Oryctolagus cuniculus: one gene and its partners. The main gene of each other region encodes a partner of the protein of the gene in region 2 in a complex. Links are inferred from orthologs where the notes say so. Each region holds a gene or a part of one and is shown on either strand. Other genes may lie near its edges.

Evidence for each region. The genes of interacting proteins can lie anywhere in the genome.
Region 1: the proteins of VEGFC (region 2) and KDR are in contact, whole or in part, in a crystal structure (PDB 2X1W), measured with the Homo sapiens proteins. The link is inferred for Oryctolagus cuniculus from reciprocal best matches to the Homo sapiens genes VEGFC and KDR. Residues at the interface, in NP_005420.1 of Homo sapiens: Thr148, Asn149, Phe151, Lys153, Phe186, Ile188, Val190, Pro191, Leu192, Gln194, Pro196; in NP_002244.1 of Homo sapiens: Val135, Tyr137, Ile215, Val216, Val217, Val218, Asn253, Val254, Gly255, Ile256, Asp257, Phe258, Asn274, Arg275, Asp276, Phe288, Leu289, Ser310, Ser311, Gly312.
Region 3: the proteins of VEGFC (region 2) and FLT4 are in contact, whole or in part, in a crystal structure (PDB 4BSK), measured with the Homo sapiens proteins. The link is inferred for Oryctolagus cuniculus from reciprocal best matches to the Homo sapiens genes VEGFC and FLT4. Residues at the interface, in NP_005420.1 of Homo sapiens: Leu119, Asp123, Trp126, Gln130, Asn167, Arg210; in NP_891555.2 of Homo sapiens: Gln172, His199, Asp200, Ala201, Leu202, Tyr203.

The regions. Positions count from the first base shown.
Region 1 is NC_091439.1:109,289,112-109,292,935, reverse strand, and holds part of KDR (vascular endothelial growth factor receptor 2 precursor), read right to left. Parts: intron 3,704-3,824; coding exon 3,589-3,703; intron 3,492-3,588; coding exon 3,328-3,491; intron 1,887-3,327; coding exon 1,730-1,886; intron 755-1,729; coding exon 631-754; intron 1-630. UniProt on the Homo sapiens protein: Tyrosine-protein kinase that acts as a cell-surface receptor for VEGFA, VEGFC and VEGFD. Plays an essential role in the regulation of angiogenesis, vascular development, vascular permeability, and embryonic hematopoiesis.
Region 2 is NC_091433.1:58,680,277-58,684,100, forward strand, and holds part of VEGFC (vascular endothelial growth factor C), read right to left. Parts: intron 1,543-3,824; coding exon 1,436-1,542; intron 1,134-1,435; coding exon 800-1,133; intron 1-799. UniProt on the Homo sapiens protein: Growth factor active in angiogenesis, and endothelial cell growth, stimulating their proliferation and migration and also has effects on the permeability of blood vessels.
Region 3 is NC_091437.1:66,958,404-66,962,227, reverse strand, and holds part of FLT4 (vascular endothelial growth factor receptor 3), read right to left. Parts: intron 444-3,824; coding exon 242-443; 3' UTR 1-241. UniProt on the Homo sapiens protein: Tyrosine-protein kinase that acts as a cell-surface receptor for VEGFC and VEGFD, and plays an essential role in adult lymphangiogenesis and in the development of the vascular network and the cardiovascular system during embryonic development.

The sequences.
Region 1 (3,824 bases), on a different chromosome or scaffold from region 2:
GTCACAAAGAAAGCAGGCCGTGTGTGCTCAGGCTGAAGTCCCGGAGTCTCCACCCTGCCTACTGCATTCTCGCTACACCACTGACCACTCGCACAGCCACTGACCACTCGCACAGCCATGGAATTGTAACCACGCCAGCGCAGAGCTCACACGTTACACAGAAAGGGCTCTGGACACCACACACTTGACGAAGTATTTTAATACAACACCTTCCCCTTCTCGGGCTCGCAAAATCAGGATCACCTTCTAACAGACGGACGCATGAAATGGGGCGAGCGTTTCGCTTTTCTCCAACGAGCTATTCGGAAGTGAGAGGCTCTGCTAGAAGTCGGTGGTGTTTCCTAGCCTCCTTCATACACTAGCATACTAGCATCGTATCATACAGTCATGTTCCCAGTACGCCACCCGTACAAGGGGACTTCAAAAAGCTCACGGAAAATGGAATTAAAAGATCAATTTATTTTGGTGCACAAGTTTTTGAAATCCATGCATAGCGGTTTTTTTTTGTAATACTCATTTCCATGAACTTTTGGAAGACCCCTTCTATCACTGCACTATTCTCCCATGAGAGAGAGAGAGAGAGAGAGAGAGAGAGAGAGAGAGATTTGAATTAAAGGACTTCAAGCTTACTTTGTTTTTGCCTTCAATCAGGGCAAACTGATTTTTGCTGCCTTCAATTCTATTGCCTCCCTGGAAATCCTCCACGTTTCTCCATTCTTTGCAAGTGTATGGGTTTGTCATTAAGGCCGACTGGCTGTAAGAAAGAGCGAACAGATCACTTAGGATTTTGGCTTTCCCTTTTCATAGAAGTCTATTATTTTTTAGCTGTAATATTTAACAATGTTGTTAACGTTTCACCACACTCCCTTCCTGGGTAGACATTATATACTTACACCTATAGGCTACCTTTCTCTTGAAAACAGAGGAATTAATATTGTAAAGTGAGGGGCCGTAGGACTGATCGAAACGTAGAAAAAGAACGGTCCGTCGTCACGTATGTGGTAGGATTCGGTCCCCAGATCAATAGCAAGGAGAGGACTCCGACCCGGGGCCCTGTGTTCCTAGAAACAGCTGTCAGGGCAGCCACACTGCGAGATGTGGCGCCAATTAAAAATAGGCCTGGACAGAGGGGGGACGGTTCGAGGCGGACCCACTCAGGATACAGGAGGGAAGCAGCTATTTTGGGAACAGCCTCCATTCATAAACGTGACGACAGACATTCACGTTGGTTCAGTTCAAAGGAAGGCAGGGAAACTGCGAAGCCACTGGATTTGTGAAACTCATTCCCCGGCCAGCGGCTGTGGAAGAAGCTCCTCGTGGCCATGGCGAAAACAACAACAGGAAGTAGCCGCGAGGGGCTGATGGGCTGCTTGTTGTCCTGTCCTGTCCCCTGAGGATGTCCGCACTTGTGTGAGAACTTGATAAACCAGGCCCGAGGCTGCACCCACCGGAAGGCAACAGCGCACTGGCCCCCGATTGGGCGGAGAGAAAGCCAAGATGGAAAATCATCCAATTGAGCGAAGCACCTGCTATTGGAGAAGTGTGCCCCAGGCCGCCCCAAGAAGAGACAGCCAGCTTGTCCCAGAGTGGGACCCCCGAGCAAGCCAAGACAGCTCTGACACAAAACCCCAGGAAGCGGGAGGAGACCTCGCCCCCCTACACACACAGGGGTCGCTGTCTTGGTTTAGAAGGCGGTGACAAGGAGCTGCACGGCCCCAGGCCCACTCACCTGGCCTGCTCCGAGCACTCCTCCTCCAGCTGCCAATACCAGCGGATGTGGTGCGGGGGAGGCACGGCGTACACGGTGCAGGTCAGCGTCTGCGAGCTGCCATACTGGTAGGAGTCCACGGGCGAGATCAGAGACTTCTCCCCAATCTGCGGCGGCACTGGAGGCGGGACAGTGAATCCGTGAACTGTCAGTCAGCTCAGGGGGTCGCACAGGAGAGGCGTTCCCGACCAAAGGAGAGCTTTGCATTGTTTTGTTTTGTGTTTAACGTTTTTACGCTGCGATTAGCCTGCACTACAGGAACAGTGTGCTATGTAAGACGTGCCTACACTGCAAGCTGATCGCCTCCAGGCACTTGGCACTTCCGTTTCCTTTTCATTTCTCCCTGTGTGCAGCCTGCCCTCTTCCAGGGCTGCCGGCACTGCACACTGAGGTGCCGTGAGCTACAGTCACCCCTCCAGGCCTGGGGCGCTCTGCCGCTTAACGCCATCTATGCTTCTGGGCCCACTTTGGACTTCAAAGGACAGCTGGGACAGGACAGCTGAGGTCCCGTGATACCCATCCTAAGAAGCAGACAGGGGCCGGCGCTGTGGTGTAGCAGGTAAAGCCACCGCCTGCAGTGCCAGCATCGCACTATGTCCTTCTGGTCGACCAGAAGGCTCAGGTGGTACTTCCATTACCCCCCTTCTCCCATGCAGCAGGGCAAATGCTAAGTGAATCAGATGTGCGCTGACTTCATGAATGGATGAAATGGGGGCGATTCCCTGCCCGTGCCTCCGTCTTTATTTCTTGTATGCTGCCTCAGCTTTCCGGCCACTGCCTCTTCTCCAAGCCCCGCGCCCTCACTGCACACGAGCACCTGTTCAGAACACGCGATCTTTAAACCCATCCCTGCAAAAAGGAGGGACGCCACGCTCAGTGCCATGAGAACGGCACACACATGAGCATTTTGAAGACCCCAAGAAGTTCTGCAATTACAAAAAGTATTTCACACCATCAGGGCAGCTTCCCCACGAGTGTGACCATTGGACCCTTCCTTCCCCATCCCAAACATTTCGTTAGCCCTTTGAGTGTGGGACAACAAGTCGTCCTGAAATTAAAAACTTACTGTCGTCCCTCCAGCTCAGAGTCAGATGCTGTACTCCCGTCCAGAACAGTAAAAGTTCCAACCAAGCCAACGCCCTCTGAGCTGGGACCTGCCCATGCCCCCCCTGAAACGCCAAGTGCAGCCTTGAACTTCAAGAAGAGCCTCGGACATCTGTGCACCAGGCGCGCAGCTCCACGAGACGGGAGCGCGGGTCCCGCGGCCCAGGCTGACCACTGTCCCTGGGGGCGTTCTTGGCCACCGAGCCAACCATCTGCTTTAATCTTGCATTTGGCCACCAAACAGCTCACGGACAGGGCCTCTTGAGCCAAAACACGGCTGCAGGGTAGCACACAGTCCCACATCTCATTGCAAGTCTGCTGCCCCAGCCAGTTTTGTACACGAGCTCTGTCATGATATGGGTGACGGAGCAGGACACAAAGCCTTGGTGGCTTAGTGGCACAGGAAGACAAAACCACGCCCCTCAAGTCAGTCTGGGAGAACAGAGCAGACTCACCATTCACAACCAGAGACACCACGTGGCTCTGCTTCTCCCTGGTGATGGGGTTGGTGAGGATGACGGTGTAGTTTCCCGTGTCTTTCTCACTCGCCTCCGAGATGGTCAGTACGTGCCCCACTTTAATCGTGTGATTGGACTCCAGGAGTCTTCCATTTTTATACCTATGATTCCAAAAAAGCAAAAAAACCCGGGAATGAGTGTCATGGAAGCATCTGCCTTCTTGTGAAACAACACTCTTTATTTCATCCCAGTAGTTACCATTTGATTTCAGGCGGTGGGTAGCCCAGCCACCTCACGGGGACTCGGATGCGCGCTCCCACCGCGGCCTCCACCAAGGACTCCATGCCACTCCCAAAAGCAACAAAAGGCTTCTCTGGAAGAAAACAAAAGTCGTTATTCTCATAGGTGTCAACTTTCGGAGAGTGGCTGTTGGGCTTGGTTATCGTTGTTATTGTTATTCTTTCTTATTTCATGGGAAAAGCCAGAGGCCCTGT
Region 2 (3,824 bases):
GTTGCCAAAGTACACTCAGCATCACAGATGCCAACAAACCAGAAGAAATCAGAAACATTTAGAAACTGATAGATAGAAGAAAACAGAGACGAAGATGCATAAGTTAGGGAAGCAAATAGAAGAAATGTGGGAGAAAATACCAACAGCACAGATCTGCCTTAAACAGATCACCTTATTCTTTGAGGTTAAAGAATTTCTCAGACTAACACAGAACGTTCTTGAGTCCACTAATCTTACTTTTTTTTCTTGATGAAGAAGAGAATAAAACCAAGGTTTACGAAGTAAGTTTTCAGTAACTTTTAACAACATATTAACTGGGCTCTCCAATTCCATTACTTAGTATACATATTTCTAGATATAATTCTACAGTAAGTGGTAGTATTCTTTTTTGAGTTTTTGCATAAAAATCACCTGTACTTAGAATAGTTTTCCTAAATTCCATGTGAAGGTGTAATGGTTTTTGTTGGGTGTGAATGTGAGTGCTTGCAAGTATTTTGTAAATTTTTTACAAGATTTCTGAGTCTTATTGATCATCAGTTCCTTAGCCTCTGGGTCAAGGATGTAGACTTTACTCTGAATTTGGACCTGATTTTGGTCTCCAAGGCAGCTTGTCTCACTTTTTTGGGAGCAAAGTATCTCATGCAAGTTTAGCATTGGTTAATGAAAATGCTAGAATTTGTCTTCCAGAACTTATTAGCTACATTCTGATAAATGCTAGTTTTGGTTAAGAAACCTGCTTTTACTTGAGAACATTTTATTTCCAGTATGAGACCTTACACTATTTCTAAAGAACTCTTACCTGCATGTTTGATGTTGGAATTTCTTTCCTTTTAGAAAGCATTTTTGTGGATTTTCTGTACATTCACAGGCACATTTTCCAGGATTGAGGGGTTGGTTTCTTGGACAGGTTCTTTTACATACACACTGGCATGTGTTTTCATCAAATTCTCTGTTGGCCCCACATGAGCTGGGGAAAAGTTTGTTTTTACAGACACACTGGCATGAGTTTCTGTCGAGTTCTTTGTGGGGTCCACAGCTGGAAGGCCGAAGGCCCCCTTTGCAGACACACTGACAAGTCTCTTCATCCAGCTCCTTGTTGGGTCCACAGATGTTGTGAAATCCATCTGCAGAGTCTAGACAAACACAGAACATCCTGACTATACCTTAGTTGGTTCTGGTATGGGTTAATTAAAAGCATTTTAAAAATCTTCCTTTTTATGTTTTTCATTAAGTGGTTATGTACAAACATGGGTATGTTCCTTTACAAAAAAGTTCAAAACAATACCAAGATGAATAAAAAAAATGCTCCATTTTGTAGTCACTTATTTCAAAGAATGATGATCTGAATATTGCACATGTGGTTTTAATATTAAATTATGTGTTAATCAAAATATAGACTCTTGGCCTTTAGTTTTTGAAATATTATTCCGCTTACCATCTCCAGCATTTGAAGAAAAAATGAAGTCTTGCTGAGCCAGGCATCTGCAGATGTGATTATTCCACATGTAATTTGGGGGGCAAGTCTTGTTTGTTGCATCACACCTTTGGAAGAAACAGACAGGTTTAAGGAATGGTATAACTAGTACCTGGACGCGATCACTGGCTTTCCTCTCATGTTTTATATCAGTACGTGCCTCTAAAAAGCTTTGAAAGATATAAACATATATAAAATGATATGTGAAGTAGCCTCTCAAACTACTACCACCCACACTTGCATTCGAATTCTAATTTCAGTGGAGACCACTGTTAGTGGTATAGTCTTAAGATGCCAGTCTTTCCTCCTTTAATCAAATATATTAATTTTTATAATCACATCGTATTTTATTTTGTAAAAAAGATGCAATAAAGCCTTTTTATTACTCAAAATTCCTTTTTTCCACTAAACAATATATTATGAGAAAATGTATATATAATTTCATAAAGTTTTGCTACTTTTTAGTGTCTGCATAATACTCCATAAAAGCAAGGACTATTTGCATTTTATTAATACATTATAGTATCTATTTAAGTGATTCCAGTTTTTGGCTTCTTCAAACAATGATTTGTGATTATTTTAAAACTTGCTGTATATGAGTGAAATGGCCATCTTTTGATTTGAGTATTGTTAATAGCTCTGGCCTATATTCCTGTTGAACTAGTGTCTTTATTTTACTTGTTAAACTCTTTATTTAGAAGAGCATTAAGCCTTTGACCATAATGTAAATAAAAATATGGTATCTCAAAAATTGAGAACAAGAAAAAGAAAGAAAGAAAGGGGGAGGGGGGAGGAAGGAAGGAAGGAGAGATATGAAGAGAGAGAAGAATGGATGTGTTCTTATATTCCTGGAATTGTACATATGAAAAACAGATATTGATCTTAAAAAACTTGAGCTCTCTGCCAAAAATAGATAAAAGAAACATCTATACAAGAGGGTGCATCAAAAGGTTTGTGGAAAATATAATTTTAAAAAGTTTACTTTGATGCACCAATTTTTGAAACTCATGTATTTTTTCACAATTACACATCTTCTGTGAACTTCTGACTGCTAATATACATACCCTTGTTATTTTGTTATGAAATATAGCTCTCCACAGTTGTAAAGCCCCATTACTGAAGATTTCCATTCTGTGCTCCATCGAAAAGTCACTACTAAGCATGTTTTTGTTACATTGTTCTGGCTTTCCCTCTCTTCCCTCTTACCGCTCTTCCTTCTTTGTCATCCTCCTTCCACCTCCCTTTCTTCCTTATTTATTTTATTAGAAATTATGAACATATGTGTCTGGACTTGAGTCAAGTGTTCTAAATAGTGCTTGGATGCTTCGCTATCCCACTTTTGGCTCATTGGGACACCTGTGTGTTTGTGCCTGTAATGATATCAGCCCTTTATTTGACAGATCCTCTGCTGTCCAGGATGCACAGATATCATAAAATCATCTTGCTCATTTTTCTCTTCCACAACTGGAGCCAGTATTTCTCCAAGGAGCCCTAGTTCTTTTAGTTGGAAACTGACATTTAGAGGCTACTATTTGAGATAAGATGTGTTCAGTGCCATACAACTACATTTCTAGATCTCATAGGGTAGATCTAGAAAATGTAGAATGTTTCCCAAGTTAATGTTTACACCCCCCAAAAAGATTATATTTTTAATTATCAAATTACACAGTGTGTCTAAACCTATCACTATTTCATTTTTTGATTGATGTTGGTGGTACACATCAAGTGGAAACATTTATTTGTATCTTTCACCCTGGTACAATATCATAAACCACATTACAGGTGGCAAAGTATTCTTATATTTCAAATTGGTGGAATATAAGAATAGTGTGTAGAAATCTGAAGAAGTGCTCTGAATGGTTCAGATAGTCCTAAAGAAATCTTCACTGGGTTATACTCAGTGTGATAGTATACCTTTCATTGAAAATAGCCTGACATCTCTTAACGCTATATGAAAAGAATTTCTGAATAGAAGAAAAAGCAAATCTTAATTTTCAACTCTATTTTCTGTCAGCTTGAAAACCACCTATGAGGATTTATCAATGCTTTCCTGCTTAGCAGTCTCTACAGCAGCTCCAAGATGCAGGTTATCTCTATCACTTATTTTCAGCATGACAGTTTGGCTAAAATCACCCCCTAATTCTTCACACCATCACCTTCTGCAAGCAGTCGATGACTGCTGACTCTTATCACCTCATCTTTCTGTGACCTTCTTCAAGGGTCATGTCTCCTTCAGCTTGATGAAGAACATTCTATTACAAGTGATTTCTTGAATTAATTTTAATTTGCAAATAACTTTCTGATCATTGTGTGTTATTTGTTATACTACATAATAAATTAACAGCTTGTC
Region 3 (3,824 bases), on a different chromosome or scaffold from region 2:
GTGGAGAGGGACTGCTAGGGGAGGCTGGGGACAGGTATGGTGGGAGGCTGCAGGGGAGCCCGTGAGCCAGTTCTGCTCTTCCTGGCTCTGGAGGCCGCAGAGGGAGAGGAAGCTCCTCCAGGGTTAGAATCAAAGAGGAGGTATTTCCAGCCGGGCGCCCCTGCCAGCACGCCCCACACTCCCTACCCCCAACTGTCAGGGCCCAGGCTCAGGAGGGCAGAGGGTCTTGCCTGCTGCTGCCTTAGTAGCTGCTGTCTGTGAAGAAGGGTGGGCTGGCAGACCCTGGGGAGCTGTCACTGTCGTCGCGTGGCCGTGACAGCTCTCCATACTCGCTGTTGTAAAACACCTGGCCTCCTTGCGCTCCCCGGTCAGGCCGCCGCCGCCGCCCATGGGGGCCAGGGTGCCCCCTGGTCACATCCACAGCCTGACCAGGTCCTTTACAGCTGTCAAGACAAAGGAAGGCAGCGTTAGCGGGACAAGAGGAGAGGGAACTGGACCCGGGGTTGGGGATGGATCAGGATCATGATACAACTGGAGCAAGAAGTGTGCTCAGGGGCTCTGGGAACCACACAGCCCAGCCTTGACTGAAACAGACACCACACCGGTCAGATTTGTCCCAGGCCTGGACAAGGAGCCATGGAGAAGCTCTGCCTTCATCCCCCAAACAAACCCTTTGACCTCTCGGGCCCATCTTAGTAAATGGCATCAGTGTTCAGTTGGCCACTCAAGCCAAGCACCTGCCTAAAATTCCTGTGTCCTTCCTTTCCCTCCCGCTTCATACCCAGTCCATCCAGAAGTCCTGTCTACTGTACACCCAGAATGCACTGTGCTCAGCTGTCTACTGGTGCCCCTACTGCAGAGCAGGCTGCTGTCTCTGTAGGCTCTGCCAGGTCTTCACCCCTGCAGCCAGACTCCTTAGGTTAGATGTGACATCAGGGTCTCCTGCCACACTTTCTAATGGCTTCCTGTAGCTCTGGGAAGAAAACCCGAGCTTCTCCCCTGGGGCCTGCAGGGTCCTGCCGGTTCCAGTGCCACCCACCTCTCTGCCCTGCTGAGCTCCAGCCTTGGCTCTCGTTTTCTTTGATTTTTGAAAGAATTGGTTTAATTATTGCTTTGTTTTGCATGGAGCTGTTGAGATAAAGTCTGTGGCCAACCTGACTCTTTTCTTTGGGATTTGTTCTTTTTGTCTGAATTTCCAGAGTGCATTTCTTTTTATATTTATTCATTCAAGAAGCAAGAAGCAGCATGCACATGGATATCTGTGTGTATGCTGTGAAAGAGAGAGAGAGAGAGAGAGAGAGAGGCATTCCTATCCACTGGTTCCATCCCCAAATTCCTGCAGCAGCCAAAGCTAGGAGCTGGGAACTCCATCCAGGTCTCCCGTGTGCTTGGCAGGGACCCAACTGCTTGAGCTACCATGTGCTGCCTTCCAGGGGTCAAAAGTAGGAGCCAGGAATCGAACCCAGGAACTCTAATGTGGATCATGGATCATCTTAGCTGGAATCTAAGCTGCAAAGCCAAACACATGCCCCAAAGTGTCCACCTTTAAAGTTGAATAGCTCTGATATCTCTCACAATTTTCCATCCTGTGCCAGTTTCTCCAGATATTCTTGCCGACATGTAGAGTCAGGTCTTCATTTATTTATTTAATAAATAAATTGAGTTGTAGGTTTCAAATATTAGGTCTATCCCACTGTTTGCATATTCTTCCCCAGGGACTGCAATTTCACTTTTACTGGATCTCTCCATGCCTTCTATAACCTGCCACTTTCTCTCTAACCCTTTTTAACCTCATTCAGGTTCATTGTCTTGACTCCTTTGGCATCCATCCCGCTGTGCAAGTCTGGTCATGTATACAGCATCCCCCTTCTCTAGGGGGATGCATCCATCACCCCAGTAGCTGCCTGAGACCTCGGACAGTACTGAACCCTATATATGCTAGGTTTTGTCCTATGTGTACATGCCTATGGTAAACTTTTATTCTCTAGTTTAATTTTCATAGGCAAGAGATGAACAGCGAATAATAAATTATTATAATGATAGACTGGAATAAAGGTTTCCATGCATGCATTCTCTCTGGAAAGTGACAGCAAATGTTTGCACTTTCAGATGCATGGAAGGGGACCCTGCAGGGCAGGGGATGGCTGCACTGTCCCTGGCATACTCTACTCTTTGTTTCGAGTGGATTTGTCTTTTGCTTCAGTTTCTTTCCTGAATTTTGTCGGCTGTCATTTTATGTCTTTATCTTGTCTGTATGTTTGCATGTGTGTAGCTCCTGCTTCATTCCACATTTAGTTCCTGTAGTGTAGCCTTACAGTGTCTCTGCTCAGCAAGTTGCTACTGCGACATTCAGATTCTAATATCCTGTTTTATTCTTACAAGAACTTTGTATGGATACTGCTTATTTTTTCCATTCATGATTATTCACTTTGGAATTTCCTACATCGGAAATGGTAGGTTCTCCCATGCAAGGCGTGAGGAGCCACGGTGGTGTTGTGGTTTGAATGCATCCTTCTAAGTTCATGGTTTGGAAACCCAGTGCCCAGGGCAGACAGTGTGGACAGCTGGGACCTTGAAGAAGTAATTAGATCCCGAGTGCTCTCATGAGCAGATTCACATTGTCATCCCGGGAGTGTGTGGGTTAGAAAAGTGGACTTCCCAGTCTCCAGCACCGTGAGTCAAAGAAATTCCTACTCATTCTAAATTATCCAGGCCTGTCGCTCTCCCTCTTCATGGAGGAACAACACAGGACCCTGCGCTGTTCTTTTGTCTGCTCGGCCCTTCCCGGGTTTGCTGCTGGTCCTTCCTGGGTTGGCTGCCGATCCTTCCACCTCCGTGGAAGGGCGGCTCCCCCTGCCACTTTCCCCACTTCAGCGGGGGAGCGGCACACCGCCGGCCGGCTCTCTCGGGGGCTGCTCAGGTGTTCCCTTTAGATGTTCCTTGTGCATGTTGTCTCTCTCCTCCTTTATAGTCCTCTTCTACCAATCCCAACTCTGCTACCCACACACCGAGTACGCTGCTCTCCTCCAATCAGGAGCAGGATCAGCTCTTGCAGGTTATTGGTCGAACTGGAGGCAGCTGTGTAGAAGCTGTTTCCTCCTCTCCCAGCGCCATATTGTGGGAGAGCAGATGCATAGAATAAGTCTTAATTCCAGTAACTTAGTCTAGTCCGAGTTGCTCCCCACAAGGCCCAGGTATTTTGTTACAGCAGCAGAAAATGAATGAAGATAGGTGGCTTTTCCTCCACTGAAAAATGACATAGCACCCTGCCTCTTTGGTGACACTCAAATCCCTTTGACTGCATCCTTCTTTCAAAGGCTCCTTTCAAGTCCTGCATCACACTGCTGCCAGGGTCATCCAGTGCCTGAGGGAACGCAGGGCTCTCTCCCTGGCTCTCCCATCAGCCACCTGTAGATTCAGATAAAAGGCCATAGGGAAGGGAGTGGGATCTGGCATCCTGGTTGCTGAAAGGGCCAGATGAGGCAACCTGGAAATGAGGAGAGATTAACTCCCTACGGGGTGAATCTGACCAAGGGTTAGCAGGAAAGGACCGGGCAGATAAACTCCTCCCTTCTTCCCACACAGACCTCTCCAGGGGCATGTATCTGCCCAGTGAGCTGCTGCACCTGTGTCCCAAGGGAACCTGTGGGAAGAACAGTGCCCTCTGTTGCCATTGTCGTGAGGAGCATTTTTGGTAGAGAACCAGGCACTGTGTGTGTGTGTGTGAGAGAGAGAGAGAGAGAGCGAGAGAGAGAGCGAGAATGCTGTTTTCTGAATTCTGGACACTATCATCCTTCCACAGAATCTTCTGGTACTTTCTTCTT